Drosophila melanogaster: one gene and its partners. The protein of the gene in region 1 interacts with the protein of each later gene in a pairwise test. Each region holds a gene or a part of one and is shown in the gene's direction. Other genes may lie near its edges.

Region 1 (7,103 bases):
GAAAACTATTAGCAAACCTAAACATAATTATTTTTTTTTATTATCGTTTCTTCGGCCAGTTGAAAGTTCAAATCTCTAAGAGCATTGACCGTCGAGAGGCCAGAAACCTGATTTGGTGCCCCGAAAGCGATGGCCTGTTATTGAGACCCGTGCTTTTGACCGATTTAAATATGTATCTAACATTTTCGAACGCCTCTTTTTAGCTTCACCTTAATTAATATTCCCCCAGCGACAATAGAAATTTGCTGTTGGGGTCAAGCATAAAGAACTGACTGACAGCATAATTCCTAAAATGCAAATTAGTCGGCCGATTAACGGTATTTGGCGTAGATACAGTTGTCTGAGCATAATAATCAATCGAAGGCAACCCAGCGAAGCAGTTTTGTAGCGCCTAGCTTTTCAAAGTATTTAAGGAAGTCTTAAAAAGTTCATCTTCACCAACGAGTTTTAAAGAAGATCTTAGAGCTTTAAGCTGAACGCAAGGATGCTAGCAAGTTTGTCCAAATCAGTTAAATCTGAAAAGATTCTCATCGCTAAGCTTAAGTAGGGATAATGACAGGCTCAGACGCATTTGAAGGTTTTTACGAGCTTTAAGCCCAATATTACTGCACAAATAAGACGAAAGAAAGCATTAAAAGCAGAAGAAACAATACAGCTAGATGATGTGTTCGAAAAGTTTAACTTTAGACCATTTGAATACGTAGTTTACACAAAATTAGTTGTGGCATTACAATTATTGCTAATTTAAAACTCTAAAAGTCGATAAAATCATATAAGTTTTGCTTAAAACAATGACAATTAAACACTCGAGTTTCTCTCGCCAGCACATTCGACTTTTGGTTAAGGTAAATAAAATATACACACAAATTATTTTCCAGCTTGAAGACCCCGGGCAACGTTTAACGAGTCAAGCGGAGCTGGAACCAACGATCCATACCAGATGGATGAGATGAGAAGCTGCCAACACATTTGGCTCGATTTTGGCCCCCAAGCCACAAGGCGGAAATTTGCATAATCATCCCGAAAAAAAAGAGCGGACACTATTAGGCCAACATGCGAGCACTTCAGCTGGCCAGTTGACAACATTATTCCAGCATTATTCAGGCAGGCGATCGTTAATTGTTTCCAACGACAATAGGCCGGGGTTAACGCTCAGGCAAGTGGCCAAAAAGCTGGCTAAAGAAGCTGGATGCTGCCAGGCAGAAAAGCCCGAAGAAAGATTCGTATTTTGGATTTGTATTCTTCAATTTAGGCGTGTGTGCAGATATTTGGTCATAAATTCCCCCCCGCCCCAGGCAAAGGTCAGCACCTGCCGAATCGGTTTTGGCCATATAATTAAAGCCTGAGAAGAGCCAAAGAACGGGCAATGAACTTTCAACTCAATTGGGCCCAGCCCATAATTCGGACTTAGGCCAATTTATTAGCCAGCTGCCGGAGTTGGACAAAAACTGAAAAACCAAAACTGGACAGCAGCTTTCTTTGTGCCGTTGCCTCGTTTGAATATGAATCTTTGAGGCCTGACCCCGTTGAACTTCTCCTGCGGCACATTCTTATGGAAATTAAGTTTGCGTTTCTTTTATTTTAGAAATTTTTCGCAGCAGTTTCCGCAGCCTGTTGCCAAGCGGATTTTACTGTGACTTCTTGAATGTCTTGAATAAAATAAGTTTGCATAAAATTGACCCAAGTGCTTGTGGATTTCATTTTTTTGGGGGGAGAAAATCGATTTCAAATTAGCGGATTTATGAAATATATTTAAGACCGTTTAGCGAATTTATATACAACATACATATATGCTAATTTTTGGATGACCCAATTTGGCCCAACAGTTAGTAAGAGTTAAAAATTGAAGACCACAAAAACAAAAATTAATTTATGCGTTCCCACAAACTTTGAAACCAATTTCCAGATCTAGATTAAAAAAAAAAAAACAGTTACTAAACTCTGTACTCTTCGAACTTGGAAAGTTAAAAGTCTTTTTTAGGCATTACAAAATGATCTAACATTTTGGAAATTATATTTCACTATGAATATTTATGAAATGAGATAATATCGGTATATATTAAAGGCACAGTTCCTAAATTGCTGGAGGGAATAAACTATTCTATTTTCTAAAAATACTTCTTTGATCTTTTTAAATTTTTGCCGATGAATTTCAACCTGTTGAAAATTAATAAAAAGCGAAATGAATAGAAATTTAAGAATATAGAATTGACTTTGGTAAATATATTCCAGTTTCCAGTGGGCAGCTATAAAAAATGGTTAAAGGACCGAGGCAAATATTGCATTTGAACACTCATATTATTATCCAAACTATTTGCAAATAATAATTAGTTTAAATTAGTCAGAATGGCCATGACTGCAATATCACTTTTATATCTAAAAGCTGTGAGGTAAAAAAAAAAAAACTCAAATCTGGAAATGAGTCAAGGGGAGAACGCAACCACTGCAAAATTGGTTTTCTATGAGTTCGCATGGCCACTTTTGGTAGCCGTTTTCGAGGTGAACCTCTACAGGATCATTCTGGAGCTTTTGGCCCACATCCTGCTGATCGTAATAACCGTGGTGATGGTCAAAAAGACCTCGGGTTTGGATGACCACAGCAGCGGCCAGCATGCCCTATACGCCATTTTGGGACTGTTTCTATGCGTGGGTGAATCTCTGTTGGTATGCCACTCCTGGTGGTTAGGAGACTTCATCTCCGAAAACCGGCTCAACCTTCTGCACATGGTATTGGGAATGGTGGGACTTTGGCTGGGACTGGTGGGGATATTCGCGAAGAGTATCTTCAAGAGCAAGATACATGAGCCGCACTTTAATTCCAAACATGGATTGTGTGGCCTTTTGGGATTCCTGCTTATCGCTGGGGCCGTGGCCAGTGGTTTCGCCCTGGTGTGCTTCACCCACCTGGCTCTGCACGTCATCCACCGATTGATGGGCTTGTGTGGCTTTGTGCTCCTCTCGTGCAGTCAGTGGTTCGCCCTCAATTTGGGATTCGCACGACGGGAGTGGAGTAGTTGGAAAATTAAAAGGCTCAGGATCTCCACGCTGGCCGCCACCATTTCAGTGGTTAGCTACGAGTTCCTCTGCCTCTGTAGAGACATTGTCCATTTGCTACCCAACAGCTGGTTCAAAGCCATCGGATTGAAAATTGATCACCTTCACAATTAAATTTTATGACCAAGCATTGTGAATAATTAAATTGAAGTGCTGAAGGCAATTGCAAAATGTTTATATTTTCTAAGCCCTACCATATAAAAAAGTAAATCACACAAAAATTACATTTATAGGAATTCTATTCAGCATGACAGCAAATATTTGGAAGATCAAGTGAAGTTTGTTAATCAATTTCGAAAGAAACATTAGCATACTTTCTGACTTTCAACTGAGAAATCCCTTGGAAAACAAAAACACTTTAATATCTATGCTTGCTATTTGGTCATATTGCAGTATGCCTAAGATTTTAAACAAGTTTCAACATTGTTTAATTAAGAAATAATAAATTCCGTGTCAAAAATTGTAGATTTATTGCACGACTAAAGAAAACAGTAAAATTACAGAGGGCTCGCATGTGAAATATTGGCCAACCTTCAGTCTTTCACCTGTACAATTGGCCATTTCCACGCATAAGAAGCCTCTTGGCTGGCATATTAATCACGGGACAAAGGCATAATTCCATCCCAACGTGGCTCGATCAATCAGCGATGCTGGAATACACATTTGCCCCCTATACCATACACCCCTTTCATCGATATTCACATTGGTCATTGGGTATATGACCGGTGGCCGGGGATGGGATACGACCACTTCGCATGCGTCGCTGACTCCGAGAGCAGGTCCATCATAGGTTCGGATCGGCCCTTGACTTCTCGGGTTTCTCGGTCTCTTGGGATGCCGAGATTTGTGCGTGTCTCTGATTGTTTTGTCATTAGCATGACCGCGGCGCTTTTTTTTTTTTTTGGGCCTTTGGTGTTTTTGGTGATCTTCGACTTTTTGATTCGGCGGCTGCTGATTTATTCAGCGCTCTTTCTTTTGTCCCACCGGCGGGTCACTGACATTCGTTTCTAATTCTATTTTTCACCATTTTCTACATTTCTTCCACAAAATTTCGCCACTTGAAATTATGCCGACATCGACCGCAATTATGACCAATGTTCTTGTGGCCTGAGTGGGCTCTCTCTTCTCGGTTTCTATGGGTTCTAGATTATGGATTCTGGATTTTTGGCCAGAACTTTTTCGCATAAAAACCTAATGCCGCCGCCACAGATCGTACAGTTCTGTTTGGGCCTTGCTTACAATTAGGATCCGGTCGGCAGTAAATCTTTAATTTCTGTGCACTTTACGTCGAGAAATCTTCAAAAAAAAAAAAAAAAAACAAGATGTCCAAGCTGGGTGCTATCTTGTTGGTGGGCTTGTGCCTGTTTGTGGCCGTGGCCTTGGCCGAGCCACGCCTTCAGCACGTTCAGGGGCGCAATCAGGTGCAGGGTCAAAGGGCGCAGCAGCATCCCTACCTCTTCCTGTCAATTCCCAAGGGTCGGGCCAACGCCGGCGCCGTCGTCCAGGGCTTCGAAATTGTCGAGGAGGAAGATGATGATCTACATGATGAGGACCAGCACGATGACGAGACGGAGGATGACGAGGAACTGGAGCATCAGCTGGGCCTGAACTTTGCCCGCAGCGGTCTGGCTTACAGGCAGAACCACGCTGATGACGAACAGGACGATGATCAGGATCAGGAGCAGGATCACGTTCAGGATGAGCTGCCCAAGAAGCAGATGATGGTTAACCGGGATCAGGCTGGTGCCATTATGGTGCCCGATGGCATTATCGAGATCGAGGGTCAGAGTGTTCTGGACGAGAAGACCGGCAAGGCGGCTCTCCTAGTGCCTCGTGCCGCCCTAGACGCCATTCCCGATGGCGCGGTGGTGGCTCTTATGGAGCGATCCGCCTCATCCGTTGATGAAATCGAGGAAGAGCGCGCCAACCGCGTGGTAGTTCGTCGCCGCAAGAACAACGGACGCAGGAACATTCGCCGCCGCGGCATCAACAACAACAATATCCGACGCCGCCGCCCCGCCCAAAGGCGTCGCCGAGTGGGTGGCAACCGCAGGCGCAATGTACGCGTCATTCGCCCCCAAGGCGGCAACCGTAGGCGTGGCAACCAGAGGCGCCGCGGACAGGTCGTATTCCAGGGTTGAGACACGAAACGAAGGTCGTCCTAGCCCCATTTCTATATAGTATTATAGTTAAGATCCCCTAACGATCAGGACAAGAAATTTGAGACACTTGATGACGATGCGACAAATAAAATGTGATATGAAAATTATAAATATTTTTTTTCGTATTTTTTATGGGTGGTGAAATTATGATGTGAAATTAACCAACATGCAAAGACTATGGTTTTGAATCATTAAGTTGAAACTTATTTTAAAGGTTTTGCCGTAAAACATCGTATACTACTTGTATAACTTTATTATTTATTTATCATATATGGTGTACCATTTCCTAGCAGTGTATAAGATACATAAGATTGCTTTGCCTCAAAATAGATCACTGCTTAGCTCCATTGATAGAAAAATTTGCATTTATCATGGAGTTTATTTGTATCATGGTTCAGCTTTATTCCAGTTTATCCTTTAACTTCGACACAACCTTAGTTATAAGTCACTTAATGCCCATAGGCTATCAAAAGTATGATATATGAATTAATAACTGCAAATTTTGTATGATAAAGGATCCGAAAATCAGATGGTACACACATATATACAAACAATGGTAGAGAAACTCATTTGAGAACATCTCTATAGAACTGTAAAAGTTTCGTAGTAAACTATTTTTGCTAATCGTTTGGCCAACAAAATAGGTACTACCGAAAAATAACCGTTTAGAGATAAAATTCATTTGATTGTCGTATATTGGAACCAAAGATACTTTTGGTCTTATCCAAATATATATATTAATCAAATGAAAGTTTTAAAAAGTCACGAAATAATTACACAATAACAGTATGTACAATACAAATGTTATATGGAAAATTAAAATATATATTTATTGAAATAATTTGATGTCGCATTCTGATTATATTTTGTCATTGTTTTTGGGAGAGCAAACATACAAAAATAGATAAGCACATATTTTGGAATCGTTGTCAAGAAAAGATTTGCCTCCGAACTATGCAATAAATCGCGAACCCTTTGTAAATTATAAATTTTGAGATTTCATTAAGTTTTGATTTTTTCGAAACGAATTTGGAGACTTCAGTTGAGTACTCCATTCTTTGGTGTGGAAATGCCGAGCACTGAGTGAGCTGAAGCAAGCAGAGAACTGACATCCCAGAACATCTGTGTAAGCCAGATTCCGTGGGTCAATCTCGGCTTGACGTCAATCAATCATCGGCTACTCGGCGATGGATAGAAGAATGGTTTTGGCAAAAGAGATGGGAAATTAGCATAAAATTCGTACGCCTCTGACCCGCGACCCGGTTCACTTTGACCCCGGGCGAACTTTTGCTAATAGAGCTGGCCAAGAAGTGGGAACTGAAAGGAAATGGGGATGCGGGGCGGATGATAGCCATCGATCAGCTGTATGAGCTCCAAGTGGGTATAAAATCCCGGGTCAGTCCATCAGTTGTCAGTCAGTTGTGAGTGAAAACTCAAAGACAACAAGTGAGTTAGGAACCCTCGATCCACAGTCAAGGAAGCCGATTATCCCGATAAGGAGAATCCATCTGCAGAATGCATTGCCTGCTTCAACTGAGTCTGGCTGTGGCCCTTTGCGCCCTCTTAGCCCCATCCACTACCTTGGGTGAGTCCTCAAATATTAACAGAAAGTCGTCAGTCAAGTCACAACTACTTTCTTTATATGTTCCTTAAATATTTCGTATAATTTTAAAATATTTTATCTCAGCCGAACGCCGCAATGTGTACCGCCTGGGTGGACGCGCCTCCGACGCTCAGATGGAGGCCCGCTTCACCTCGTCGATTGCCAACAAGCTGACATCTCTGAAGGGCACCACCACGACGACCACGGTTGCCCCCACTACCACCACCACGCCCACCTCCACTACGGAGACGACCACGCCGACTGCACCAACAACGTCCACTGGC
Region 2 (8,614 bases), on another chromosome or scaffold:
GATGAATCTCTCGTAGAGTCGGGCGTACGCCCTGAGAGGCAGCACCGCCTTGGCGTAGCAGTTCTTCAGAAGCTCATTCTCCCTCAGGAACCTATCCTCGATAAGCTCCACCGTCAGGATATACAGGTTAGGGGCGAACTTCAAAAAACTCATGACAGACCCATCAATGCATCTTACTCCAGACGATTTCTCCAGGCACTTCTTAAAGATCTCGACCAGCCCCGGCTGGAACTCATCCGGGTCAGTGGAGTAAAACACCTTGCGATCCTCGCTGATGCCAAGGGTCATGGCGAATACAGGTTTTTGAAAGGGGAACTCGGTGTCGATGTAGTTATTGGTCCACTTGTAGTTGGACTTCAGTTCAAGGAATTGCAGGCAGGGGTCGCAAACGAAATGCGAGAAGTTCATCAGCGACGTCTCGAGCAGCACCTCCATTGACTCTTGCATACGGAACTTGACCTGCAGTATAAACCGCGAGATCTTGCACATGAGATAGACCGTCCAGGTGTTGAGGGAGATGTCCAGCCAGCCCTTTCCCAGGGCTCGGAGGACCACGGTGATGACCGTTGTCAGCTGTTGCGGCCAATAGACTTTAAGAAACGTGGCCACGTTGTCGCTATGCGCCTCCTGCGCTTGCAGGAAGTCCACTAGCGCCAGGGGCTTGCTAAAGCTGCAGATGAAGATCGAAAGTGTTTCGATGTACTGGCACTCGATGGCCACTCCGGCCATGGCCTCGATGCCACCGACGCAATAAAACAGACTGGCCTTCAGGTAGTCGTACCGCTTCTCCTGCATGGTTATGCCAAGGGCCTGCAGTTCAAGACGCTCCTTCCCGGAGACGTCCACGGCGAAAGACCGGGGCAGAAATTCCTTGAGGTTGATGTTCCGAAACTGGGGAAATTCCTTGGGCATCTTAAGGATAAACTGCTCCAGCTCGTATAGGGCCATTAGGCGCTCGAACACCAAGTTCACCTCGGAGCGTAGTCGTCTTTTGCACTGCTCAGACACCTTAGCCGCCTGCAGGACCGATTCGATGGGCTTAAAGCTATAAAACACGGTGGACTCAATGTCCTCGTGCAGGACACAATCCACGATCAGCTCCATCAACATAAGCTGCTCCCCCTTGTGCCGCTCGTGAACAGCGGCCTGCAGCCGCTTGATGTACTTGTGCGGGTCCTCAGCCATGAACATGAACTGAAGCTTGGGTACCGTGTAGGTGCATCCGTCCTCCAGCGATAGAAGCGTCCAGAGGTCGGAGTCCTCGTGGTGCGCGGTAACAGCTGCCATGCCCCACTGGCAGTTCAGCAGGCTTTGGTTGTAAGGCAGGTACGCCTTCGCCGGAAGCGGGTAGTGCGCATCTCCGACAACTCCCAGCTCAAACCAGGCCGCCGGAGAGTTGATGTCAAAGTTGCTGTCGTCGAAGTAGCTCAGGGGAAACTTGTGTGGGAAGGCGAACTCGGACATTACATTATACTGCTCCTCGGTGGGCTGCAGCACGTCGTCAGTGAGGCCCGCCTTGGCCAGCTCATTCACCAAGTTAATCTTCTGGTACTGACGACGCCTCCGATCCACTTCGACGTCCTTTGGAAGATGCCGCTTTGGCACGTAGCGGGTCTGGATCACTTTCGGCAGGATCGTGGGCAGCGGAAAACGGTGTGCCTTGCCCATCTTGTCCATCAGAGTGAGCCATCGTTGGGCCTCCTGAATGGGGTAATATACATCAGTAAGCTGATTCCGCGGAATATATAGCTCCTGATAGTTCATCATAGTCGTTCCCGGTCGGGGCGGCATGATGCAAATAGCTTTCTCAGCCTCACGCTTGAATTGACTGTCATCCGGGCCCTTGTTGCTAATTGAGCTGGTGCTGCTCTCATCGAATTCCTGGGAACCTTCATAATTTTGTCCCACCTCTAAGTTCTCCGGATCCATATGAAATATATTGTTAAAGTGGATTTAAATGAGAAAGTGGCGTTCCTTTCAAAGCAGTGTATTTGTTGATTGTTACAAAGCCCGAGCATTAATTACTGCTGTTTAGTCAAATTAAACCAAAAAATTCGATTTTATAAAATTAATGTGAATATGGCGGTCTCAGCAATATTTAATATTTTTATTAAATTATATGTAAACTATTTTATTTCCAAAAGGATACATTGACTTCAGTAAGGTGTTTGCATCGCAGTGAATGAGGCATTTGCGACCATATAAAGCTCACTTTATACTTTCTTGATCAGTATGAACAACCGAGTCGAAATAGCCATATGAACAATCGAATGTAAAATTTGGTCGTTTAATTTGGTATACATTTTTTACTACATTTTTTTAATTTTGAACAATCTTTAATTTCAATTTCAAGCTTCCGTTGTTGTTTATTCATTTTTTATTATTTAGCGCACTTTTATGAGAATTATTTTTTTTGCCGTAAAAGGTTTTACTAAATTCGATAAAGGTAAAAAGAAGCATTTCCGACTCTATAAAATATAATATTCTTGAACAGGCCAACAAGCCGCCCCAAACTACGACGCTAACACGCAAGACTTCACGAGACTTTCACTGTCACAATTACAAAGTAATTTGATTGTAATGCGAATTTCTATAGATATACCATTTTGCAACATCTCGCTCGCAGTAATGCGAATTTCTATAGATATACCATTTTGCAACATCTCGCTCGCAAAGTCGAGGAACCCTCTGACTTTTGTCTGTTTTTCGTCCCTTATAACACCAACAAACCGCCCAAAACTCCCACGCTTTTGAAAAATTTTTTAAATAGTTTATTTTGTTTTTTAAATTTCCTTCGATCTGCTAAAAGAATGTTGGAATTTCTCATTCGCACTTAGTATACGACTTGAGTAACAGGACTTTTAAAGTAGGGGAACTCGATCTTGTTTTGATTACAAGAAATATTAAAAAACATTTAACATTCTACATTCTCTAAATATCGTTTTTATGATGACAATGCTAAATAATGGGTTCCGATAATATCGATAAGTACCGAATTCTCGAAATTCGGTCACTCTTTCCGGAACGGAATCCACAAAGATCATTTTGCCTCGTCTCAGTTCAGCCTTTTTAGATTTTCCATAGCCAGATCTAGATTATCTAGAAACGGAACAGCCAGAACTAGATTATGTCTAGCTCAAATTATTTGGTAAAGAAATCAAATAAATCAAATAGTTAATTTAGTGTAGAATTAAACATGCCAAAAATTACAATCCTGCCACAGAAACCTTTATTTAAAGTTAACTACAAGTTCAAAGAATATTAACGGCCTGTGAAAAGTATTCCCCTCGCAGTCAATTTATGCTTTTGCATTTCATTTGGCTGAGGGTATACGGGTATAGTCGCGACGATCCATATTATTTTTCTGTTTCCTTGGTACCTTCTATGCAGGTTATCAAATCACAAAGATTTTACGCACAATATTATTTAATCTGTAATCCCTATCACAGTCCTTGCGGGCTTCAAATAACCTAAGTCGAGCTTTAAAAATGCTAAAACGGCAACACTCGTGCCAACATTCTGCTTAGTTGCTGCCAACCCAATCTAACATGTTCGAAGTTGCGAGACCGTTTTGTACAAAAATATATTTAAGCGACTGGCAAAACGCGCTCTCTTTGTTGCTGAACGATTTCACTCGCGTCGTCGTTTCCCAAGAAATCCGAAAGATATGGCTAGTTGACTAAGAAGTAATTCGATATTAATATATTTTTTTGGAAGCGCATATAGTTTTATTGGGCTAGATCGCATTTTCTGCATGGTGAAGTCCGTTACGATATGTTGTCGGATATATTTTATGTGCGGTGAGATCCAACGCGGTGTTTGTGTGTGTCTTTTGTTGGCGTTGCTGTTGTTTGTAGCCATCGCCATAGCCATCGGCATCGCAGCCCGCGGTATCGAAGTTTCAGTATCAAAAGCATCGGCAGCCAGCCCAAGCTGAAACTAGTCGATTGTTCAATTCCCAAAAGCGCGGGCCCTTTACACTTGCGTTCGTTCTCCTTCGCGAGTGTGTATTTGTGGCCGTGCACAAGTGCATTTGTGTGTGTGCACTCGGGATTCCTCTTCCATTCCAATCGCCGCTCGACCCCCCCCCCCCCCTTCCACACCATACCTCGCAGGTGAGTATCGCCACAGCCGCGAAAGCATTTTCCAGCTGCTCCCCACCCTCGCCTTGCGATTCGGTGATATTAGTCATCACCGCCATTGCCTGTTTGTTCATGGTTTAATTAAAAAAGTGGCGGTAGTCCACTGTTTCTTGCTCTGCTTCCCGCCACGCCCATTCGCAGCGGCAGCGTCAGTAGGCGATGCCGAAGAGAGTCGCCGTGAAGCAACAGCCAACTAAAAGAGCAAAAGAGCTCACACGTGTCGGTGGCTAAGAGAGAGCGCACAGGGGCGTGGGTGCCCTTCGTGAGAGGGATGAATTATTATTCCAAAGGATTGCCCAGACTTGTTTTCATAGATTCTCTGGTAACCTATTCGTACTTTAATGAATTAAATATTGTTTATTGGATTAATCTGGTTCTATGAAGTGTAAAAAACAATTGACCCTTTCGGTCTACAACTGTAATTCATGAATCACTTATTCAATACAATTTTATATTAAGTAAATTTTGTTGATAACAATGGAAATTATATTGTTGACCATTGTTTCCCAATCGAGATAAAAAAATTCATTATTTGAGGAATGCGGGTATTAGCAGTAGGTACTTCTATGCTACTTCGAATACATAGAATATTTCTTCTTTTTAGTGGTACAACTTCTTCCGTATGAGAAGTATTTTAGCAGCAGCTTAGGTATAGCAGCTAATTCCTTATCCTGAGAACTGACTTTAAATAGTATTAAATAGCCGAACGCATTTCGCTGTCTTCATTGTCTACTGTGTACCTTTGTTGGGTAAGGAGTGCAGTGGTGTGCCGCCTATGTCAGTCAATCAAAAAGTTTCACCTGTCCGCCGAATGCGGAAACGTCGAGAAATGTAGTTGCATTCGCATTTTTTCAGGTTTTTAGGGTCAGCCAACGAGTGCGCTAAATACTTCGATCAGAAATTTATGTATGTGTGTATGTGTGTATGTATGTATGTATGTATGCATATGTATGTATCACCTGGAGAATGTGGTGCGGCATCAATTACCGCTGGCCGGTGGTCAGAAAAGCGAACCTGGAGCTACGTAGAGTCAAGGGCTTTCGCAAATAGATTGCAACAATGCAGTGCTAAAGTGCTAATTGATCGCTTTGCACCTTGGCCCTCGCGTATAGTTATTTGGCTGGCGCGACTGGCTTAGACTCAGTAAACACATTATCTGCTTAGATTGCTCAGAAAACACATCAAATCCAAATATTCATTCGCGTTTACACGGCAAATCTCAAGATTGTGTCTCATTGCCGGGCTTCGATTTTCTCAGAAGAGAGGAGCTATACAATCGGCTGGCTGTATCAGTCACACCCACAAGCAATCTGAAATTATTCGGGCCAACATAAAAATTCGGCCAAAGTCCATGAGATCTTGGTTATAGAGATCGCATGTATTAGTCCTCTGGTTTATATGTACATAGGTGCTCGCTAATATGTGTTTTGGCAGCGCATGCTTAATAAGCACTTTTGGGCTCTGCTATTATGAGGAAAGTTTTTTAACCGGTTTGTCCTATGGAGAAAGAAAAGAACAATGACATCGTACGGGTTCTCTGGCCCCTGAGACTCTCGTCTGAGACTGAGATGCTTGGCCACGATCTTCGTACCATTCGGGGTTAACACATCGTGGGCATAATCATTCGATGGACAGTGACAGCATCGTCAGAGTCAAGAGAACTAGCCTCACCACCTGTTGCGGTGCTATAAAGACAAATGTGCCGTTATCGGCGGTGAGATGGACAGATCCAATTCATGATGGTAATGCGAATCCAGCTATCGTTCGGTTAGGAGGCAAGTCTATGATAAAAGTTTATTAAATGCTTTTGGCATACTTAGGCTCCAGAGCCCTTAAGTAACAAAAGATTTGATATAGCGGTCGATATAACCTATATCTTGAAATATATAATGATCATAATACGCCAATATAAGGATTATAATTCCAAAGGGAAAAGTTGACTAGCGACTGTGATGTCTGGCAATGCAGCCAGTATTTAATTTTAAAAGTATTATTTTTACAGTTATTAGTTTATACAGCCTTTGCCTAATAATGATATCTTATGAATTATATTTAAATACCAAATGAGAACTGTATGGTCGAGTTCCTTGCCTGTTAGTCAGCTAGTAGATGTTTAAGCGAGAATCTTTAATATTATTTTGGCATATCGATAGAAGTGTTACATACATACTTCCCAACGAATCTACTAGGCTATACTTTACGAGTAATGGTGCTCTAAGAATTTACCTCAAAATGGTAAATCGCCTTTATCCTGCATGGTTAAACAAAATATTGTAGAAGAGATGCAATGCATACGAATTTTCGAAATAAAAGAGCACTTTGATATCTTTTGGTAAATGTAACTATATATGTTATTTAAAAAGAAGTAAAAAGCTATAAGTACCATGTACTCACCTTTCCAGCAAATAACATCATTAATATTACAATATTACCGATAGATACCCATTGACCGTCTGCAAGGGTACACAAACTTCGGCTAGTCGAAGCCGGCTTTCTTTCCCGTTTCTTTTTTCGACATTGACGGGACCTACTCGTATACATTTCGCACATTAATTTCATTTACCCAAAGATTCGGACAGTTTTTCTCTGTCGCTTGCTGTTGTCTCTCTCTCATTTTCCCCAGCCTTTCTTTGTGCGTTTTTTGTTTTTTGTTTTTTCTTTCATTGTTTTTGTCGGGTTTTACGTATTTTTGGAAAACTTACCACGCCAGTGTTATGTAAGTCGACCCCTCGATCTCAGCGGCTTCTCCTCAATTTAGAATGCCCGAGGCAGAGTCGCAATAAAACAATAAACAAAACCTCCATTCCTGACACCCGTAACCTATGCTTTGGGAACTATGCATGTGCATAATTACACATCGATGTATTTAAATGCCATTAATGCAGTGCGGCCCTGCGATGGAAACTTTCATCGTGTGTTTCAGCAGCTCGGTCGGTTTTCCGTGGGGTCTGACCTTCCCGAGCAGCCAAACAAATTACAAGTGCACACACATTAATCGGCCAGCCGACCTGAGGTCGTCAGGTGGGAGCGGTCCGCGCGATTCACTTGCGCTTTCGTTTCAATATATCCGACCACGCTTCTGGCGATCCAAGCCAGTGATCGAGGGCCGCCGCCTTTATTTGCTTGCGAGGAGATCGGAATCCCAAGTGTCTTGTGTGGCCTGACTCGATATTTTCAAGACGAGCACTCACACAATTCAAAAAGCATCGCCGCGATTTTCGAAATTTCGTCATTTAAATAAATTAATATTTATTTTTTAACAACGAGGACGGAAGATAATAACACCTTCGCAAATACAATATTACGATATACAAAACAAACAGAAAACAAAACAACAAAACCCAGGTATCTAAGGTATCTAAGAAAATACTTATAAAATTCGCAAAACGAAACAGATATCGCAATCTATCTCCGCACAATATCACAATATGGAAGGACTTTAACCCCCAATTAATTAATGCCGATAGCACTGTTTCTGGCTCCAGCCAACCGCTTATAAGGCAGCTAACTTATAGTTACGATTTTCTTCATTTCTCCCTTTAACCCCATATTTTTGATTAGGTTTTATATATAGCTGGTAAATTTAACGAGAACAGAAAAAAATAATAAGGGAGCTAATCGCCTATCAGATAGAAATAAGCAAGACAAATGATAATATAAAACGATTTCAAATACATTCACAAAATTCTTGATGATTCAGTTTTGAAAAGTTTTTGGCATACCGAAGAAATCCCTTCGACGTTCTAAATATATAAATACAAATATAGTCCACCCTTAACCTACGAAAAATTGCTAAACGAATGTTACGCAGAAAGTAATTGTCAAAAAAAAAAGATTTTTCATTTGACAATGAAAGTATATTATACAAAATTTACCCTTTCTAAAGATTATTTGTTTAATTAAATAATGTCGACTGGTAAAATCTTCACAGAAGAATCAGATTTTATGTTCAGCGTGTGAACGTCAGCAGTTATTTTATTTGTATATATTTTATATATTTAATTATTTTTAAAAAATACAATACCTTTTGTAGAGCATCAGTACACTTCAATTTTGAAACCATATGCGCTACAGTAGAAAAATTTGCAACGAGTCAATGCGTGTCTTAAAGAAGTATAAAAAATGTATTGTTGATTAAAAATCTTTTGACCAAAACTATTGAAAAAATAGAATTTCGAAATGCTATATGTGAAGGATATTTATCTATCTAGTTCCTTTGAAATTTTTAATTTTTACTAAGTGGAATGACTAAAGTTTCTACATGAAACTGCTTGCTCAGCACATAAAAATACGTTTTGTTTCGGAGAGGCAAAAATGTAGTAAAAAAAATGTAGTACAACTTTCCAAATATTATTGTGGGAAGTATTGCCCTCCCCAGCTTATTAATCAGTTCAAATTAATTAAATTTGTCTTTAAACATTCACCGTTCTTTCATCAAAATTATGGTGAAAGAGTCAACAAAATTTTATTTT
Region 3 (7,808 bases), on another chromosome or scaffold:
ATATCCCGTTTCTGCTGAATTATTAGTTCGTCGCGATTGCCATCATTATGGGTAAACGGCTCCATGTTTCTCTGAATACTGAACAACTGCGATCGGCGCTTCCTTTCAATTTACTTTACTTTGTATTCATTTGATGAACTAAAAAGAATTCCTGTTCATCATATGTATGTGTAGGCGCATCAAATGTCACACACACAGGTCTAGAGGCGAAACTCACGGACACACTGATGCTTTCGATTTTGTCGCACAGCTATCGTTATCGGGCTTCAATTCCAGTTGTTCCTTGGCTCGAGAATAAAAATAAATAAATATTTGAAATCGCATTTTACAAACACGCTAAACCATTAAAACGGTTTTTAATAACAAATATACGTACATAATTTGTGTATGTTTATTATCTATAAATTTATAAAATAAAATAAAACTTTGAACTGGTTTTCCGCTGTGTAATACGTAAGCTGGGAACTTCAATTGGAACCAGCTTTCAAAGCTTCTCGTCAGAAGATCATCGGCTGAGACTTAAGATTGAATAAGAAATCAATTCAGTTGAGTGTTTTCTTCATTGCTCAGCGAACGTTGCGCTACTTTGATAAATTAAGTAAGTCTTACTAATAGAGTACACTTTATACTAAATAAAATTGGACTCAAATTCAATTTATTGAAAATGTGTAGTTCAGTTATGTGGATATCTGATAGAGTTTAATCTTTTTGGTGGTTTCTATGTCTTGTAACATCTACAATACATTTTTCATCCATATATGTATGTACATGTGTATATACATATTTTAATCAATCAAAAAGATCTTAAAGTTCAATGAATAAAGTGTACAAAATATCACCGCCTCACGTACTTTTATGAGCACAAATCAGCGGCAATGGGAATACATTTATATATGTTAATGAAGAAGAATTGTATAATGCTAAGTTTACTCGAAACTAAAACCAGTTTTTGCCCTATTTTATTTGCAAGGAACATATTGTTAGCAAAAATGGTGAACCTTTGTGTGTAAATGGCAATTAATTAGTGTGTTATAACTTATTATTAACTCTTGCGAAAAATGGAGGGATTGCGCTTACACATAAGAAACTATTTTTGTGTTTTAAAGTAATTATACATGCTTTGTTTTTATTGACAGCGAAAATTGACCCACCGCAATACATTAGCATTTCTTATCGCCAAAAGTCATATTTAAACAAAAAAGCAATCAGGATTGATAATGAGGCGATCTAAAAGAAACAATACGTACATATGTATATATTTGCTCGGAATTTTAGTATTCAAAAAAGAAAGCAAAGCCTCACTGATAAGACAATACATTCTAGAGTTAATTAGGTTAATTGTTCGCCGCATAAACATAAACGTATTCGTATCCGCGTCTCCCTTCCATTAAAATGTGTCACTCTGTTTTGGGGGAATCACATTCACCTTTTATCCGGTTTAAGTGCGATATTCCAGCAATAACAATCATTATTATATTACCAATACTCGAGCTTTACTCACTTTGCTTACCTTCATCTTCATCTCTTTCCTCGAATAAGTGAGCTTTCTGACCTTAATTATGTAAATATGTAAAGAGCATGATTTAATTTTGCTTTCCAGGAATATGATATTACTAAATTGCCTAGTAATATGCCTGTGCATATTTTCCTGTGGTGCCCAGGACTCTTCCTTGGACAAATTGATATCGGACATCTTTAAAACGGACGAAACACCCAAACCATCATCCCCTCCCCCGCCAGTGGTGAACCCCAAGGATTCGTCCGGTAGCACGGGATCCGAAAACGGAGGATCGAGTTCAACGCAGTACCAGTCCTGTGGCGATCAAAAGGAGTGTGTTCCTCGCTGGTTGTGCGCCAATGATACGATTAACACCAGTGGCGATGGTATCATTGACATTCGACTTGGTACGGACGCCGAATGCAAGAACTATTTGGATCTTTGCTGTGATCTGCCCAACAAGGTAACACATACATAAATACCAATAAGCTTTGATTACTTAAATTAAACTATAATTTTATTTGTTAAGAGAAAAGATCCGATTTTCGAGTTTAAGCCTGATCATCCCGAGGGCTGCGGTTACCAAAATCCCAACGGCGTTGGCTTTAAGATCACTGGAGCTGTCAACCAGGAGGCCGAATTCGGCGAATTCCCCTGGATGCTGGCCATTCTCCGGGAAGAAGGCAACCTTAACCTGTACGAATGTGGAGGAGCATTGATAGCTCCCAATGTGGTTCTGACCGCGGCGCATTGCGTTCACAACAAACAGCCCAGTAGCATTGTTGGTAAGTGTACATGCCATCTATGCCATCTATGAGATCTAATTATGAACTGGCATTTAGTGAGAGCTGGCGAATGGGATACGCAAACGCAGACTGAGATCAGAAGGCACGAAGACCGATATGTCAAGGAAATAATCTACCATGAGCAGTTCAACAAGGGATCGCTCTATAACGATGTGGCTGTCATGCTGTTGGAAAGTCCATTCACCCTCCAGGAGAACATTCAGACCGTTTGCCTGCCCAATGTGGGTGATAAATTCGATTTCGATCGCTGCTATGCCACCGGCTGGGGCAAGAACAAGTTCGGCAAGGATGGGGAATATCAGGTTATCCTGAAGAAGGTCGACATGCCCGTGGTGCCCGAGCAGCAGTGCGAGACGAATCTGCGCGAAACTCGACTCGGCAGGCATTTCATTCTGCACGACAGCTTCATTTGCGCCGGCGGTGAGAAGGACAAGGACACCTGCAAGGGTGATGGTGGCTCCCCACTGGTGTGTCCAATTGCTGGCCAGAAGAACCGCTTCAAGTCCGCCGGCATTGTTGCCTGGGGCATCGGATGCGGCGAGGTGAACATTCCCGGAGTGTACGCCAGCGTGGCCAAGCTTCGTCCGTGGATCGACGCCAAGTTGAAGATTTGGAGTATTGACCCCAGGCACTATACACCCTAAGAGCAAAATTGTCACTTGAATTTGTGGGTTTTAATCTTCATGCTTCACAATGCTCTCACTTAATATATGCCCAATATGTTAATACTCAAAATTAAAAAAAAAAAAAATCTTTTTATTTTAAGCTGAAAAAATATTTTCGGAACAGTGGAAAAGGAATAGGCTAACAAAAATTGAATTCAGTTGGCAGCAATTTTGAGCTTATCGATGTCAATTTCAGTCGGAGCACCTGGTCACACTGTCGTCGGTGTGCATGGGGAATAAGAACAAGAAAGATTAGATTCGTGCAGGCCAACGTATTTGCTCTAAATAGAATATCTGCAGAAACATGGACAACTTCGGACTGGGCGGATCGGATCTAAGCAAGGGGCAGATATTCCAGGTACTGGTTCGCCTGTCTGTGGCCTCGCTGATCACATATTATTCGGTGAAATGGATGATGAACCAGATGGATCCGACCAGTAAAAACAAGAAAAAGGCCAAAGTTCTGGCTGAGGAGCAGCTTAAGAGGTTTATATTAGACTCATATAGCATATATTGTACATGTGTAAACCTTTTCCATGCAGGCTAGCCGAGCAGGAGGGCTTCAAGCTAAGAGGGCAAGAGTTTAGCGACTACGAGCTTATGATTGCGTCACATCTTGTTGTTCCCGCCGACATAACAGTCAGTTGGGCCGATATCGCCGGTCTGGATTCAGTCATTCAGGAGCTCCGGGAATCGGTGGTGCTGCCAATCCAGCACAAGGATCTCTTCAAGCATTCGAAGCTGTGGCAGGCGCCCAAAGGCGTCCTGCTCCATGGACCACCGGGCTGTGGAAAGACGCTGATAGCGAAGGCGACGGCAAAAGAGGCGGGAATGCGCTTTATCAACTTGGACGTCGCCATTCTTACCGACAAGTGGTACGGGGAATCCCAGAAATTGACTTCTGCTGTCTTCTCGCTTGCATCGCGAATCGAGCCATGCATTATTTTTATTGACGAAATAGACTCATTTTTGCGATCTCGAAACATGAACGACCACGAGGCTACCGCCATGATGAAGACCCAGTTTATGATGCTGTGGGATGGCCTCAGCACGAACGCCAACTCGACGGTGATTGTGATGGGTGCCACGAACAGGCCGCAGGATTTAGACAAGGCCATTGTGCGCCGCATGCCAGCCCAATTCCACATTGGTCTGCCCTCGGAGACCCAACGAAAAGACATCCTGAAGCTGATCCTCCAATCGGAGGAAGTAAGTCAGGATGTCGACTTGAATCGCTTGTCCAAGCTCACAAATGGCTTCTCGGGCTCAGACCTGCGGGAAATGTGCCGGAATGCTTCAGTTTACCGAATGAGGCAGCTCATCACGTCCAGAGATCCGTCAGCTACAGCGCTTGATCGCAACAACGTCCGCATCACCATGGACGATTTGCTGGGCTCGCACTTAAAAATTAAGGAATCAAAGATGCACACGAGCAGCCTATTCTTAGAGAATAGAATCGAATTAGATTAAGCTGACCATTGTTTATTCAAGCTCCCGATATATCCAACTTAAATTTGTATAATAAACTTTTTATTTGCCTTTCGAGAGGAGCTCCAATGTTATGTGTTAATTAACCCTGTTCTCTGCATTCCAAAATGGGTATCCGGAAAACGTAGTTTTGGTAGTCTTGAAAACAGCAACGGATACTGCAGGAAATTACACAATCCATAGCATTTCCGTAAAGCGGAGCTCAATGCACTTTAATTATTACATTTACGGGCTTCTGTGAAATATTCACCTAGAGAAATTTCAAACATTTATAAAGATATTGCACTTGTACACTTCTTCAAACACACACACAACTTGCGTCACGCGACCGTGGGCTTTCAATCGTAAAAAAAAATATAAGTAAACTTGTGCAGTTTTATTCTCTTTTAAAAAGGTCGTTTATTTCTGACGGCATTTCAAAGCTACACATTTGTATATCTAATTAAAAATGAATAAAAACATGCATACATTTTAAATAATCAAACCAAAACAAATTAGTTCTTGATGTTTTTGTATAATTTCTTAATTTAAGAAAAATATAGAGTGTACAAACTTCAAGCGAAGAAATTTGCTTCTGCACATTTTAATTATGTTTCGTGCTCATATAAATACTTTCTTCGATTGGCTCAAATCATTTCTGTTGAAGGCGTTGATTAAACCACTTCAAATCCAAGCGAGACTATATACTTAACAAAAAATGAACCCAATGGTAAGCTATATTTCCAATTTGTCTTTTTGATAGGAGATATTTTGTATGTACATACTTCATTTACGCGCATCCTTTCTATTTCAGTTAACTTTGATTCCTGGATACCTATTCATAACCTTAATAATTATTGGAAGTACTGCACACAGTAATTCCTATGCTGTGAATAAAACCAATAGTGTCGAAAGTGCCGAGTGGAGCTATCCTGAATACGGAAAAGGATCTACTCACAATACCGGAAGAAGATCGGAAAAGCTGGATCTGCAACATTATAATCGGGAAACCGAACGCAATGTGACTTTGAAACGCGGTGTGAAAAACTATCAAAAGCAAGGCGATAAAATGACGAGGAATAAACTGAAATATAAGCCATCTGGTGCTCGAAGAAAAAATGTGAGTCCCAATTATGCGGATGAGAGTACGGAAAGTAGGCATTATCATACATTCGAAGAGATCCACGAGCATATCGATGAGGACGATGGTCAATACCAGGCATCCGAACAGGTCGGAACACAAGCGATTCTGCACGAACATGTCGAGCACTCGAGTAAGAAGGATGCGAAGCGGATGAAGGTGAAAATCAAGCATCATCATCACCACCATCATCACAACCACATAAAGGAGCTGATCAAAACAGTACCACAACCGTATCCCGTGGAAAAGGTCGTCCATGTGCCCATTGAGAAAATTGTCGAGAAGATCGTACATGTGCCCAAGCTGGTGAATGTTACAGTTGAGAAAATAGTGCACGTGCCTATCGAAAAGATAGTGGAAAAGGTGATTCACATCCCAAAGCCAGTCCAAGTGCCCAAACCATATGTGGTCGAAAAGATAATTGAGAAAATAGTCCACGTACCGAAACCGTATCCAGTGCTCCGGACTGTTCCGTATCCGGTCGAAATAAAGGTGCCAGTTCATCTCGAGAAGAAGGTACCAGTGCCCTATAAGGTTGAGGTAGAACGAAAGGTTCCCGTTTACATTCGTTCCAGCGAGCCATATAAGTTCGAGTCATCATCACTCTACGAAAGTTATCCACGCGGCGAGGAGTTCAAATTTAACATGGAAATGGATCATCCACCGCCCAGAGAACACGAACCATCCAGCCTACCATCCTCAAACTACTACAACAGGATATACAAATCTAGGGAATTGGATCATCCTCCGAGGATGGAGGACTATCAAAGCTCCGTGCCCACACAGTTAAAGCACGATTACGCAACGAAAACTAATCTCGATCAGCAGTTTAAAAACGAGTACGTGACGAAAAGTAGTATTGATCCTCAATTTAAGCACGATTACGTGACGAAAAGTAGTATTGATCCTCAATTTAAGCACGATTACGTGACGAAAAGTAGTATTGATCCTCAATTTAAGCACGATTACGTAACAAAAAGTAGTTTTGATTCGCAGTATAACCAGGAATACGTACCCAAAACTAGCATTGAATCGACTTCTCCTGGACGGGATGGGGTTTCCCTGAAACTCGTCGGTCCCCCTACTCCTTTCAATATCACGGGAAAGGATTTGGAGACCGCCAACTCTGCTCCAGACTTTGTCAATAGCTCCAACGTAGACCTAAGTCCACAGGAATCGGCTAATGCCTATCGCGGTATGCCATTCTCCATACCATTTCAGTTTGTACAACTCCAACCAATGGCCTTTCAAAGTCCTATACATGTGGAACTGCCAATCCAATCCGCTTCAGCAGAAGGTGCTCAAAAGTGATAATCTAATCAAATGTTTAGCGTAAATAATCCTATTCAGAGAATTATTATATACCTGACAGACTTTTAAAAGACTTTTTCCCCACAATAAAAAAAATGCTAAAAAATAAGTTGCTTAATATAAAATATAATGCATATTAGAATATATAAAATTGTTTATTTTGTTGTTGTTAAAAGTTTATGATAAAATTCATAAGCAATAAAACATACTAAGCCTAACAAGCAACGACAAACAAATCGCAATATACTGTTACATATTCTATATAATAAAACCGTTTTTAAACCGTTATTACTTTGTTTTTTTGACTGTATTGTATTTTTTTGGTTCAAGATTACCCCCAACAATTGTCGATTGCGGTAAAATCGATAACGATATCCAGAATTCATTCCAATCGCATTCTAAAAGACACAAATTTTATAAATACTAAACAAAAATCCAGGATATAAACACCTTTTTATTTGTTAGTTCAATTTATGTGTGTTTGTATTAAAACTCAAACAGGGTTGCGCTAAAAACTTAATTGGTCATTTGGTATTTCAGCGAACAGCAATATTATTAAACCAATGTAGTCGCGATTGTTGTGTGTCATTGTTTTTATCAATTAGGGAAAAGTTGCTAACGAATTGTGTTTGTTATGCATGTATTTCCTGTTACTTGTTCTGTGCAGTCCTCCTTGGCAAATAAATATTTAATGCAAGATTGAAATTAGCGTAAAAACAATGGAATGTTTATTGAACTACTGTTACAGCAACCTGATGTCTCTTACATACTTACGTGCATATGTACATATGTATGTAAGCGACTGCAAACTAAGCAGTTACAAACAGAATCCGTCACATCGAGTATCATTGATTATTTCGTTTAACAGTTTTAACTCGACTGTAGAATACTCTCTGCCAAATATATAGCATGCTCTTTAA
Region 4 (9,649 bases), on another chromosome or scaffold:
TCATTAGCCATCGCCCGCCTTGGTCTCCCCCCGGATACCAGGATGCGAGGATGCCAGGATGCTAGGATCCCAGGATCCCTCTGTTTGTCTGTTTGGCTGCCTGGCGCCCAAAGTGACTTTCAATGTAAACGTCAGAGCTTTGTGCTGTTGACATTTGTGCGCCGTCAGACGACATCGTCACAACATCCTCCACGAACGCAGACGACGGCAACAATTTGCGATAAACATCTCAGCGGCATGCAAATCCCTTTTAGGAATTGCACAGGAGAGCACTCCAACTAAAGAGCTGCGAAAAGCGGGTGGGGCGGCTAGTGGGAGAACTAGGACAAGGGGCGTGGCAGTGCAGCAAAAGGAACTCGCTGTTTGCCGAGAATTAACCATCAAGGATGCGTGCAAGTCGCGCTCGAGACGAAGACAAAAATCAGATTGGTAATTTGTGAAATCAATTTAATGTCGGTAGCAACAACATCCAAAAGTAATTTAAGACTGGATTCAAGCTATATTTGAAATGGAAATTTTTGAATTTGTCACCTTTTAAAATGGGTAATCAGGATTGGTAAAAGGCGGCAAGGGCTAAAGGGTCAAACTTTTGTAAATGAACCCATAAACAATGAACAGCAATACACGCTAGCCAATTTTGTGACTTCTTCATCATCCAGGTGGGCTTCTTATACCGCCTTGATTTCCAAGCTCTTTCAGGGACCGAAGTTAGTGTGTCTTATGGCGGAAATATGCATACACGTCGCACATGTTAACCTTCTTCTCGCACTCGCATGGTGGGATGGGGTCGAGCAGTTCCTTTTTGCACTCCGAGAAGCTGGGATACTTGGTGCGACGCTTCTTGCAGCAAGTGGGAATTCGACCAGCGTCGCAGGAGGGCGGTATCCGGCCATCGCGGCAACCTGGCGTGGGGATCTTGCAGCATGGCCACTTCCCGATACGCGGCACTTCAATCAGTATCTCGGGCTTTTTCTTCACGTCATCACAGGGCATGGGATCCCAGCGGCACTCGACATCAGAGACCCTCGGACACTCGAACTTACGCCGCGGTCTATTCGGATAGCATTTCCTGGCCTTGACAGCCGCCTTGGGTATCATATAGCACTCGCACCAGGTGCGTTGATATTTGCGCGCGGCCTTGTCGCTCGGAGTATAGTGGTCCAGATCCAATGGCATCTCTGATTCCGCACATGGGTCGTCTATGCACTCCATCTTGGGTAGCGGTAGCACCGGCGGGTGGCACTTCTTATCGTTGCGACTGGCCGCCTTGTAGCACATTTCGTCTAGCCTCTTGAGTTCTTTCAGATGCTCCAAACGCCTGCGACGCAGATTCATCTTCTTCACCGTGTCGTATGTGCGCTTGATCGTCAGCGATCCCAAGCTGTGCTGCATCAACAGCGTTCGTTGCACTGTCTGCAACACCCCCATTCTAACTGAATTTAACTGGAATTTTGAAAGGAAACCAAAACGGAAACCTGGATTTTTGGGGAGGCTAAGGTGTTATGTGTGTTGACCACTCGAACAACTGTTTACGAATGATTCGAAAGTAATCTGAAATTGGCTAGGACAGTTGAAGTTTTGTCTTAAGGCCTACTTGATTCAAAATTTATGATTAGATCTAAGCATATGTAAATAATTAAAAATAAAATATGTGTCGAGTGCCTCAACTATCAGATACCTGTTACTGGCACTGCCAATAGGAGAAGACTCGATCTAAGTAAAGCACCTCTATTTGATAGTCCCACCTAACGGCGTATACAACAGAGACCAAAACCCCCCCATAGACTAAATGCATTAAATGTAAATATTTTGAAAGATTTATTTAACCAAAAATTTCGTATCTTTTATTACACTGTTAATTTTTATCTGCCTATTGTTGAAGCACCATGAATGGGTCCACAAATCCAAAGTGTGCCTCCTTTAACACGATTCATTGCGCGGCTTCAGAGGCTCACAGGGAAGTCGGCGGTTGAGGAGAGCGTGTCGATAGACAAGGCAAAGCGGCGGCACCTCCAGGCAGCGGCACTCGATGGGTCTGCTGGTGTTCAGCTCCTCGTGCTGGCACTCCGAGAAGCTGGGATACTGGCATGCGCGACGCCGGCATCTTGTGTGTCTTCGCACCAGTTTACAATTGTTAATGGCAGCTGCCGGCGGACACTCGCATAGCTTGATCTTGGGACAGGGGCTGGTTTTGGCCTCTTGTTTGCATGGCATGGGATTGACGGTGAAGCAAGGCGCCTTCTTCGGAGCGGAAACGCACTTTTTGGTTAACACGCGGTAAGTGCGCTCAGGAGCAACCTTGCGGCAGCAGCGTTTCTGCTTCCGGAAGAAGCACTCCACCCAGTACTGGTCGAATTCGCGGTCCAGCGATTTGCTGGGCTTGTAGTACTTGTCATCCAAACGTACGGCCAAATCACAGGGATCGGTGCAATCGGGCTCTGGCTTGTAGGGTATGTCGCAACGACCCCATACACCCAGATACTTGGGATGCAGCTCGGAGAGCTCCTTGTCGGTCTTGCACGGTTTTAGCTGCTTGTAGTATTTTGGAGCACGGACAACGGGCGGTTTGCATTCCGGCTTTTTGGCATTCTCGGACTCAAACTTCTTGCACTCCCGCTTATCTTTTTTGTTCTTCGCGCACTTATCACTGACGCCATCCGTATGAGAATGTCTTCGATCCCGGGGGGGCAAACCTACACCCTTGGGTGGGCTCTGCTCGCACTTCCTGGATTTCTTATTGGCGCACCTATCGTCCGAGTGGGCAAAGCGTCGGTCGACCTGTGACAGAGCCAGAAATTGTGACTTCACTAGTCCCTTCACCTCATTAAGAAGCTGCGGGCGAAGTATTGATGAACTTTTGGCCAGAAACATAACTAAACGGAGGTTTTGGATTGGAACCGGTGCTGTGGCAGGTTGAGAGACACGAAATTTTGGTCTGTACAGGCGAACGCTCTGCTTTGATCTGGCTAACACCAAGGTGCTGAACCAATAGTTGGCAAGAAATCTAGTCCAAGGCCGCCATGATGGGATCTATTTTATTTACATTTCAACAGCTACTTCTCTATGGATTCCAGATTTAAGTGTGTAATTCCTCGAATACTGTCGCGAATTGAGCCTTTTCCGGGCCACGGACCAAATGGGTTTTCCTTGTTTGTTCTGCAGTTAATTGCGAATGGATTCGATGCCAGCGAATTTGCAATGTCCAGCTGCCTTGATTTGCAGGCAAATAACAATAAAGAAAAAATAGGCAACGCAACCTTCACTTTACGAATTTTTGCCCCAGCTTGTTTGCAAGTTAAATGCAAACAGAGTGCAGCCAGCCAAACGACAAAGCCCAACAAAAAAAAAAAAAAATAAAACAGAACGAAAAATATACATACAAAGCTGACCCCCTGCGAAAAAAAAAACAACAGAAGTCCACTAGAATAAGTATACGCCGCGTTGGTCGCCGCTCGCTGCTTGCTGTTCTCGGGGCAGTTTTCGCTTTTACGCCGCTATTTTCATTGGAGTCACTGCCGTCCGAGAGTGGCCATGCATGAGGGCTCCCATAAAATTGGGTCAATTGCTGTTAACAATTTGGCAGCGCAATCTTTTGGCCGTTTCGATTTCAAGGCGCTCAGGGGAAAAAAAATCGAAAAATAGGAAAACACAACGTGGGCCATAAAAAACGAGCACGTACGAGCGAACCTTTTGGAAAAAAACAATTTCCGCATAGAGTTGTTGGCCAGGAAAAATAGCCGCTGCAATCGGTGCTCCCCCGCGGGAGAACAGGAAAAATCCAGGGGGGGGGGAAGGTGTAGATGAAGCTGAAGTGGCTGGTCGAAAAGTTTGCTGGCCTTTACGCTAATTAATTAGTGCACTTTGTTTGTAATTCATTTTGCAAAAGCAGGGCTGGCTTAGTTAAAGTTTCCAGGGGCGAGGTTTGTTTCATAAAGCATGGACCGACTGCCTCCAATTCAAGAGCCCGGGCATCACTTTCCATTTAATCAACTGGGGAAACAGTCGACCCCAATACTTCAGCTCTTGTTGCCTTTGAGTGACTGCCAATGAAGTTACTGCCCCTAAAGCTGAGATGCACTTTAGCCGCTCCACTCCAATCGCTCCGCTCTCCGTGCAAAACTCAGACGACTAAGGAATGATTTCATTTACTTACAATCAATGAAATTGCACTGATGCAATTTTGTTTCGGCCCCAAAATAAACAGGCAAGCGGGTGGAACGGAGCTGGGATCGGGTTGTGGCAATAGGGATTCGCCAGGCAAAAGAAGATGGCGATGGCGAGGCGATGGCTAAAAAGTAACAGTTGCAGTGGGGCAATTGCGGAGGAGGAGCAACTGGGGGTCACCAACAAGCAACTACCAACCAACTCCGTTTGTCACGCTCGCCTGGCAGCCATGACAGCATTTGGTAGCCAGGAGCAGCTAATGTCTGGCGACAGTTCCCGAATCCCACGAATCCCCATGAATTCCCGTTCCTGTTGCTGGGGCTTCTCATCTTGCAGCCAGACACGTAGCCAGCCACTGTGCATTGGGTTCGGGTCGAGACGCAGAGAGATTTGTGAAAGATGTCAGGAACACTCTGCGACAGAGTCGAAAAATGAGCAGGAATCGTAGGCGAAGGTGACTGAGTCTGTTCGCCCAGCAAAGCACTCAACTCGACCAAATCCCTCTGTTTTTCAGCTTCCCCAGCAGCCAATATGAAGATAAGACCGCCGCTGCACAGCCAAGTGGAAGTAGCTTGAGATCCCAATCTCTGTCCAGGCTGGACATCTCGGTTCAAAACTCATCCATCTATTACAATGATACGCGAAACACGCGACCACAAATGGTCAGTGTGGCCGTCGGCACAGTTTCAACGGATATCCTGAATGGGCGCACATCATTCTTGTCCCTTAGTCAGTCTCACGGGAGTGAAGTGGATTTGCCTTCGTTCTACGAAAGCTTTAATCCAACTTTTCTTCCCAAGCTGCCTATCAGAAGATTTCCCCATATGCTTGTGGGGGCATCAAATGAGCCTGAGATTTCGAAAAACCAGCCAGCAATTCCACCATCTAGGCCAATTGAGCCAATATCTGAGGTGCCGTTTGTGGAACCGGCCTTTGAGAAAAAATACTCTAGGACCCGTGGATTTAGCAAGGAATTGTCCACACACAGGGATAATGAGAATGAATATATCGAGAGCACAGATGAGGTGTCTCAGATGTTGAGCTTTACTAGCTATACGGATGAATATGATAGGGCAGAACCACTCATTACCAAAACGCAAAAGTTTTATAAAAAGAGTAAGTTATCATAGCGCTGCCTTCCTTTTTACAAAAATGTTTTTTTTTTTATTTTTATTTTATTGTCATGCAATTGAATTTTGTCTAAGCTATTTTTGGCCATTTGCTTGAAATTGAGGAACCTACCAAATGCATTTCTTGTAGCTAAAACTGTAGCCTTCTTACAGGATCCCCCTTGATTCCCAAATACGATTCCGAGGATTCATATGTGGTCCCTAAGGAAACCGATCAACAGGAATCGGGTCTCTCGTTCAATGTAACTACAGTACAGTTGGCCGATACCGCATCGCCGGAATCTTTCAGCGAATACGACGGAAATCGAACGCGCAAGCAATCGTTCGACATGGAAAGTAAAAATTCGAAGGAGTCCTTTGACTTTAGCCGTGGTGGAAGACGACTTGGCTCCGGTATGGTTTTTGTAAGTGAGTGAATAGCATTCTTGTGGTGGTGAATTGAGAAACGAATGACGACTCTTGTCATCCACAGATCTATATGGTGATACCACCGGACGGCGGATTCGGTTGGGTAATCATGGTGCTGTCCTTCCTCGCCCAGCTGATAATCGATGGTTTAATTTTTACCATTGGGGTCTTATTGCCATCCATTGCCCAGGATCTGGATGTCTCCATATCGTCGGTATCGTTTGTGGCCAGTGTCCAGATTGGTTGCTACTTCACTAGCGGAGCGTTTTCTGCTGTCCTGATAAATCGTTTTGGTTTCCGAAAGGTAGCCATCGCTGGGGTCCTGTGTTCCGCAGTTTCAATACTGGCGTCCAGTTGGAGCGTCAGCTTGACCATGCTGATCTTCTTTTACAGCGTCCTTGGTAGGTTGATTCTAGATTGCTGTACGATATTCGATGAATAATAGTACTAGCCTGCGCAGGTGGTATTACGTTGAGCATGATCTGGGCAAGTTCGCAGCTGATTGTTGGCTACTACTTTGAGCGGTACCGTCCGATGGCCAATGGATTTTCCTGCAGCGGTGGCGGTGCGGGCATAGTACTCTTCACGTTCCTCAACAGCTGGCTGGTGCCAATCATCGGATGGAGGAACATGCTGCGGACGCAGGCGGGGCTGATAATGTTGATCCTGTTGATGGTGGTCGCCTATGTGGAGGTGGCTCCCACCCAGGTGGGCATGTACCATTTACCCGGTTCTTCGGATACCAGTTCGGATGAGTATTACGGCAACTTCTACGTGCATGACTATTTACGTCAATCCGCGATGACTGCTAAAAGCCGGAGTATCCTAAGTACATATGAGCCACGCCCAAAAAAGAAAGGATGCGCCAAGTTCTGCCCCTCCTGTTCGAACTGTTGTTGGAGGCGGCGGAAGAAGTCGCAAAATGCTGATGAGCAGAATCTGCTCATCCGCCCGGCGCCCCTGGAGCGGGAGGATCTCTTCTATACGGGTCCTGCCGAATACGAAAAGCCGCACAGCAAGGAGAACGTCGACGGCAAGGAGTTCCTACTAATGGGATCGGATAAGAACGTAAGTGTTGTATTAAGAATAAATTCGCTTCAACTTAAGAACACCACCAACTTTCACTTAGACCCAGCAAGTGAACTATGGCATCAAGAACATTCGTGTGGATGATGAACCCGATAGGATTTCTAGAGTTCATAGGGAACGAAGATGGTCAAACGAGAATCAGAAAAAGCAAAATTCCTGTAGGAATAGCCGGTTTATGCTCACTGTGCTCAAACTATTCGACTACCGCCTGCTGAAACAGTTTGAGTTCAAGATTCTGGTGGCGTCCGCCTTTCTGTTCCCGATGGGCTTTAATATACCCTTTGTTTACTCGTCTGCACGAACCACGATCCCCGTCGAATATGCCCGTATGATCGGCCCCATTATCGGAATTAGTAATCTTGTGATGAGAAACATCCTTGGCATCCTCGCTTACAAAAGGCGTAGTTGGACCCTCGGACTTTGTGGTTGTGGTCTAATTTTCGGTGGTGTTTCCGTTTTGATTAGCGCCTTCTATGGAGAGAACTTGATTTGGTTCCAGTTTCTGTATGGCTTCTCCTATGCTGTAGCGCCTGGTGCGTACATTTACTTACCTTACTTAAGTTTACAATATTACCCTCTCTCATTTCCATGGAATAGCTGTTTATTCCACACTGAGAGGTTTGATATACGTGAAATACCTGGGACTTTCAAAACTGACCAACGCTTTTGGGATTACCTCATTGGCCATGGGAATGGGCGCCTTTATTGGGACTACAATTGCTGGTAAATTGATAGGCATCACGGGAAACTATTCTGCTGCCTTTTGCTTTGCGGGATTATGTCTCATAGTGTCCGGATTTCTGAAGCTTCTGCTGCCCTTGCTTATTAAATGTCGCAACAGGATGGCCCAATGAGGAATTGGACTATTGGAATTGCAATATTTATTGGTTCTCCTGCTTGGAACTTGGGATTGTCTTACAACTAATAGCTTAGGCATTTTTATGACTTTTTTTTACTGGTCCTCGTTCCAAATTCTGAGTAAATGTTTGTATATCCATGTAATTGTTAATTGACCGATGTCATTAACTATTACTTCCTCCTTATTACAGATTTATTTTCAATATAATTTCAATTCAAGTGAGTTCTTTTTGGGGTTGACTTTTATTGCAATCCATTTTAAGTTATTAGTTAGCTTAGTTTACATCTAATATTAGCTTAGTTGCTGAACAACACACTTTGGCTCCACGCTTATAGGTTCAAGTGTGCTGTGTTTGGTTTTTCATTTGGTTTTGTTTCCATTTTTCCTTGTTTGGGTATGCAAATTTTCACGCTTCTTGTTTACTTTGATTTGCTTTCTAAACTTTGTACGTCTACTGTTCAATGTTTTGTTTTTTTTTTCTTCATTTTTTATATTTTATGATGATTTTTTTACATATTATTTAGAGCTAAAGCAACGAAAAAAAAAATATAAATCAATGTGAACACATAAACATAAGAATGTTTGAATCGACATCCGCAGGACGAATGACTCCAATCCTCTGTGTCCTGTGTCTAAATCTTTCTTGTGTTTTTTAATATTGTCAGTAGTCTTCCCCATCGTCGCCTCTAATTTAATCCATTTTTAATTGAAGTCTCTGCCGTCTGCGTTAAAAACAATGTCATTTGATAATGTAAAGTTAAATTAAAATCTCCTTGCGGGATGAACCACACTCCTAACGGCCTGGCTGGTCTTTCTTGTTCACACAGAAAAAGCAATTCTTACGCCTTAAATTAAAATTATATTTATATCGCCTGTGCCTCCGCCAAGTGGATCGTTCATGTGTCGGAATCGGACCTGAAATCGAATCGGACATATATATATTTTAATTGTATATACTTGTGGGGTGAGTCAAAGAACAAAAAAATATAAAAATATCAATCTATTATGGATTTTTTGTGTTATCTATATAAAAACAAAGGACTTCCCCTTTTCGATTGTGTATATAAATTTGATGTGAAATGCGAAATTGAATTAAATTCCAATTTAATTAATATTAATGAATTGAAATTGTTTGCAGTGTAACACTAATTTGATTGAGTTTTCCGCGGCGCGGCACACTTACCAATTAAAATAGGTCTGCGACCCGTGACAGTTGCGCTCGGTGCCGCACCACTTGGACTGCTGGAGCGCCGGGCACTGTCGTCCGCCCCTCTTGCCGTGCTTTATGACCTTGCGGTAGCGATGCATCTCGCCGACGCCGCAACTTTTGCTGCAGGCCGTCCACTCGGACCAGTGGCTCACGCGGCAATCACGACGACGCTGCGCGGAGCTCCGCCTGCGGGTGGCAGCACCACCGCCCACCGCACCACCGGCCTTGCCACCACCAATCGCGGATGGTGTCGGTTTGGAGGCGTTTGCATCGCTGGCATCTGCGGCACGCCGATAGCTGCTGGCGATGCTCTGCAGGATCGCATGCTTGTCGTTCTTCGGCACCACACTGACCACCTGACCAGGTGCCGGCTGCAGGCTGTTGTTGCTGCCATAGCTGCAAGTGAATAATGTGAAAAGGTCTTGTTAGGTCTTGCACGAAACAATTTGAAATAATAAGACAGCCTGTTTTTAAATTCTGCAAATTATACTTATTATACTATAGTTGGCTCGAGCAAATGAATTGATACCATTAGGCACTTAATCCTAAATTTTGTTTATAATTAACATTATATTTTTGTAATCTCCAAATTGCTTAGCCTCACACAGCAATTTCTTTGAAGGGTTTAGATCTGCTATATATATATTCCACCTTCATGATTTGCTCTACCAGAGTAGCTTAACTTGCTGACGCTAAAAGACTGCCACATTACACATACGACCCGTGTGCCTCCGCCTCTTCCATTTTCAAAGGTGTGCTCGCTGGCTGCTCACGTTTGTTATTTCAGAA

Evidence for each region.
Region 2: the proteins of CG3598 (region 1) and CG31523 interact in a two-hybrid assay, tested with the Drosophila melanogaster proteins (one large-scale study listed by BioGRID).
Region 3: the proteins of CG3598 (region 1) and nmd interact in a two-hybrid assay, tested with the Drosophila melanogaster proteins (one large-scale study listed by BioGRID).
Region 4: the proteins of CG3598 (region 1) and Targ interact in a two-hybrid assay, tested with the Drosophila melanogaster proteins (one large-scale study listed by BioGRID).

What each region holds. Positions count from the first base shown.
Region 1 is NC_004354.4:2,932,752-2,939,854, forward strand, and holds CG3598 (uncharacterized protein), read left to right. Parts: upstream 1-4,275; 5' UTR 4,276-4,376; coding exon 4,377-5,195; 3' UTR 5,196-5,322; downstream 5,323-7,103. Other genes in the region: CG3592 (uncharacterized protein), read left to right, coding at 2,419-3,168; CG14420 (uncharacterized protein), read left to right, coding at 6,732-6,801, 6,904-7,103.
Region 2 is NT_033777.3:4,474,134-4,482,747, reverse strand, and holds the start of CG31523 (uncharacterized protein), read left to right. Parts: upstream 1-3,540; 5' UTR 3,541-3,686; exon of another isoform or gene 3,687-4,115; intron 4,116-7,321; exon of another isoform or gene 7,322-7,496; intron 7,497-8,614. Other genes in the region: sac (sterile affecting ciliogenesis), read right to left, coding at 1-1,929.
Region 3 is NT_033779.5:10,299,302-10,307,109, reverse strand, and holds nmd (no mitochondrial derivative), read left to right. Parts: upstream 1-3,162; 5' UTR 3,163-3,273; coding exon 3,274-3,455; intron 3,456-3,511; coding exon 3,512-4,439; 3' UTR 4,440-4,937; downstream 4,938-7,808. Other genes in the region: CG4968 (uncharacterized protein), read right to left, coding at 1-65; CG5390 (uncharacterized protein), read left to right, coding at 1,605-1,961, 2,028-2,283, 2,341-2,948; CG13138 (uncharacterized protein), read left to right, coding at 5,155-5,166, 5,251-6,888.
Region 4 is NT_033778.4:14,663,821-14,673,469, forward strand, and holds Targ (tarag), read left to right. Parts: upstream 1-4,570; 5' UTR 4,571-4,595; coding exon 4,596-4,618; intron 4,619-4,627; exon of another isoform or gene 4,628-4,678; coding exon 4,679-5,280; intron 5,281-5,447; coding exon 5,448-5,698; coding exon of another isoform or gene 5,699-5,702; intron 5,703-5,766; coding exon 5,767-6,103; intron 6,104-6,153; coding exon 6,154-6,770; intron 6,771-6,831; coding exon 6,832-7,324; intron 7,325-7,388; coding exon 7,389-7,645; 3' UTR 7,646-7,855; downstream 7,856-9,649. Other genes in the region: CG12861 (uncharacterized protein), read right to left, coding at 709-1,428; CG12860 (uncharacterized protein), read right to left, coding at 1,921-2,871; mspo (M-spondin), read right to left, coding at 8,547-8,565, 8,834-9,256.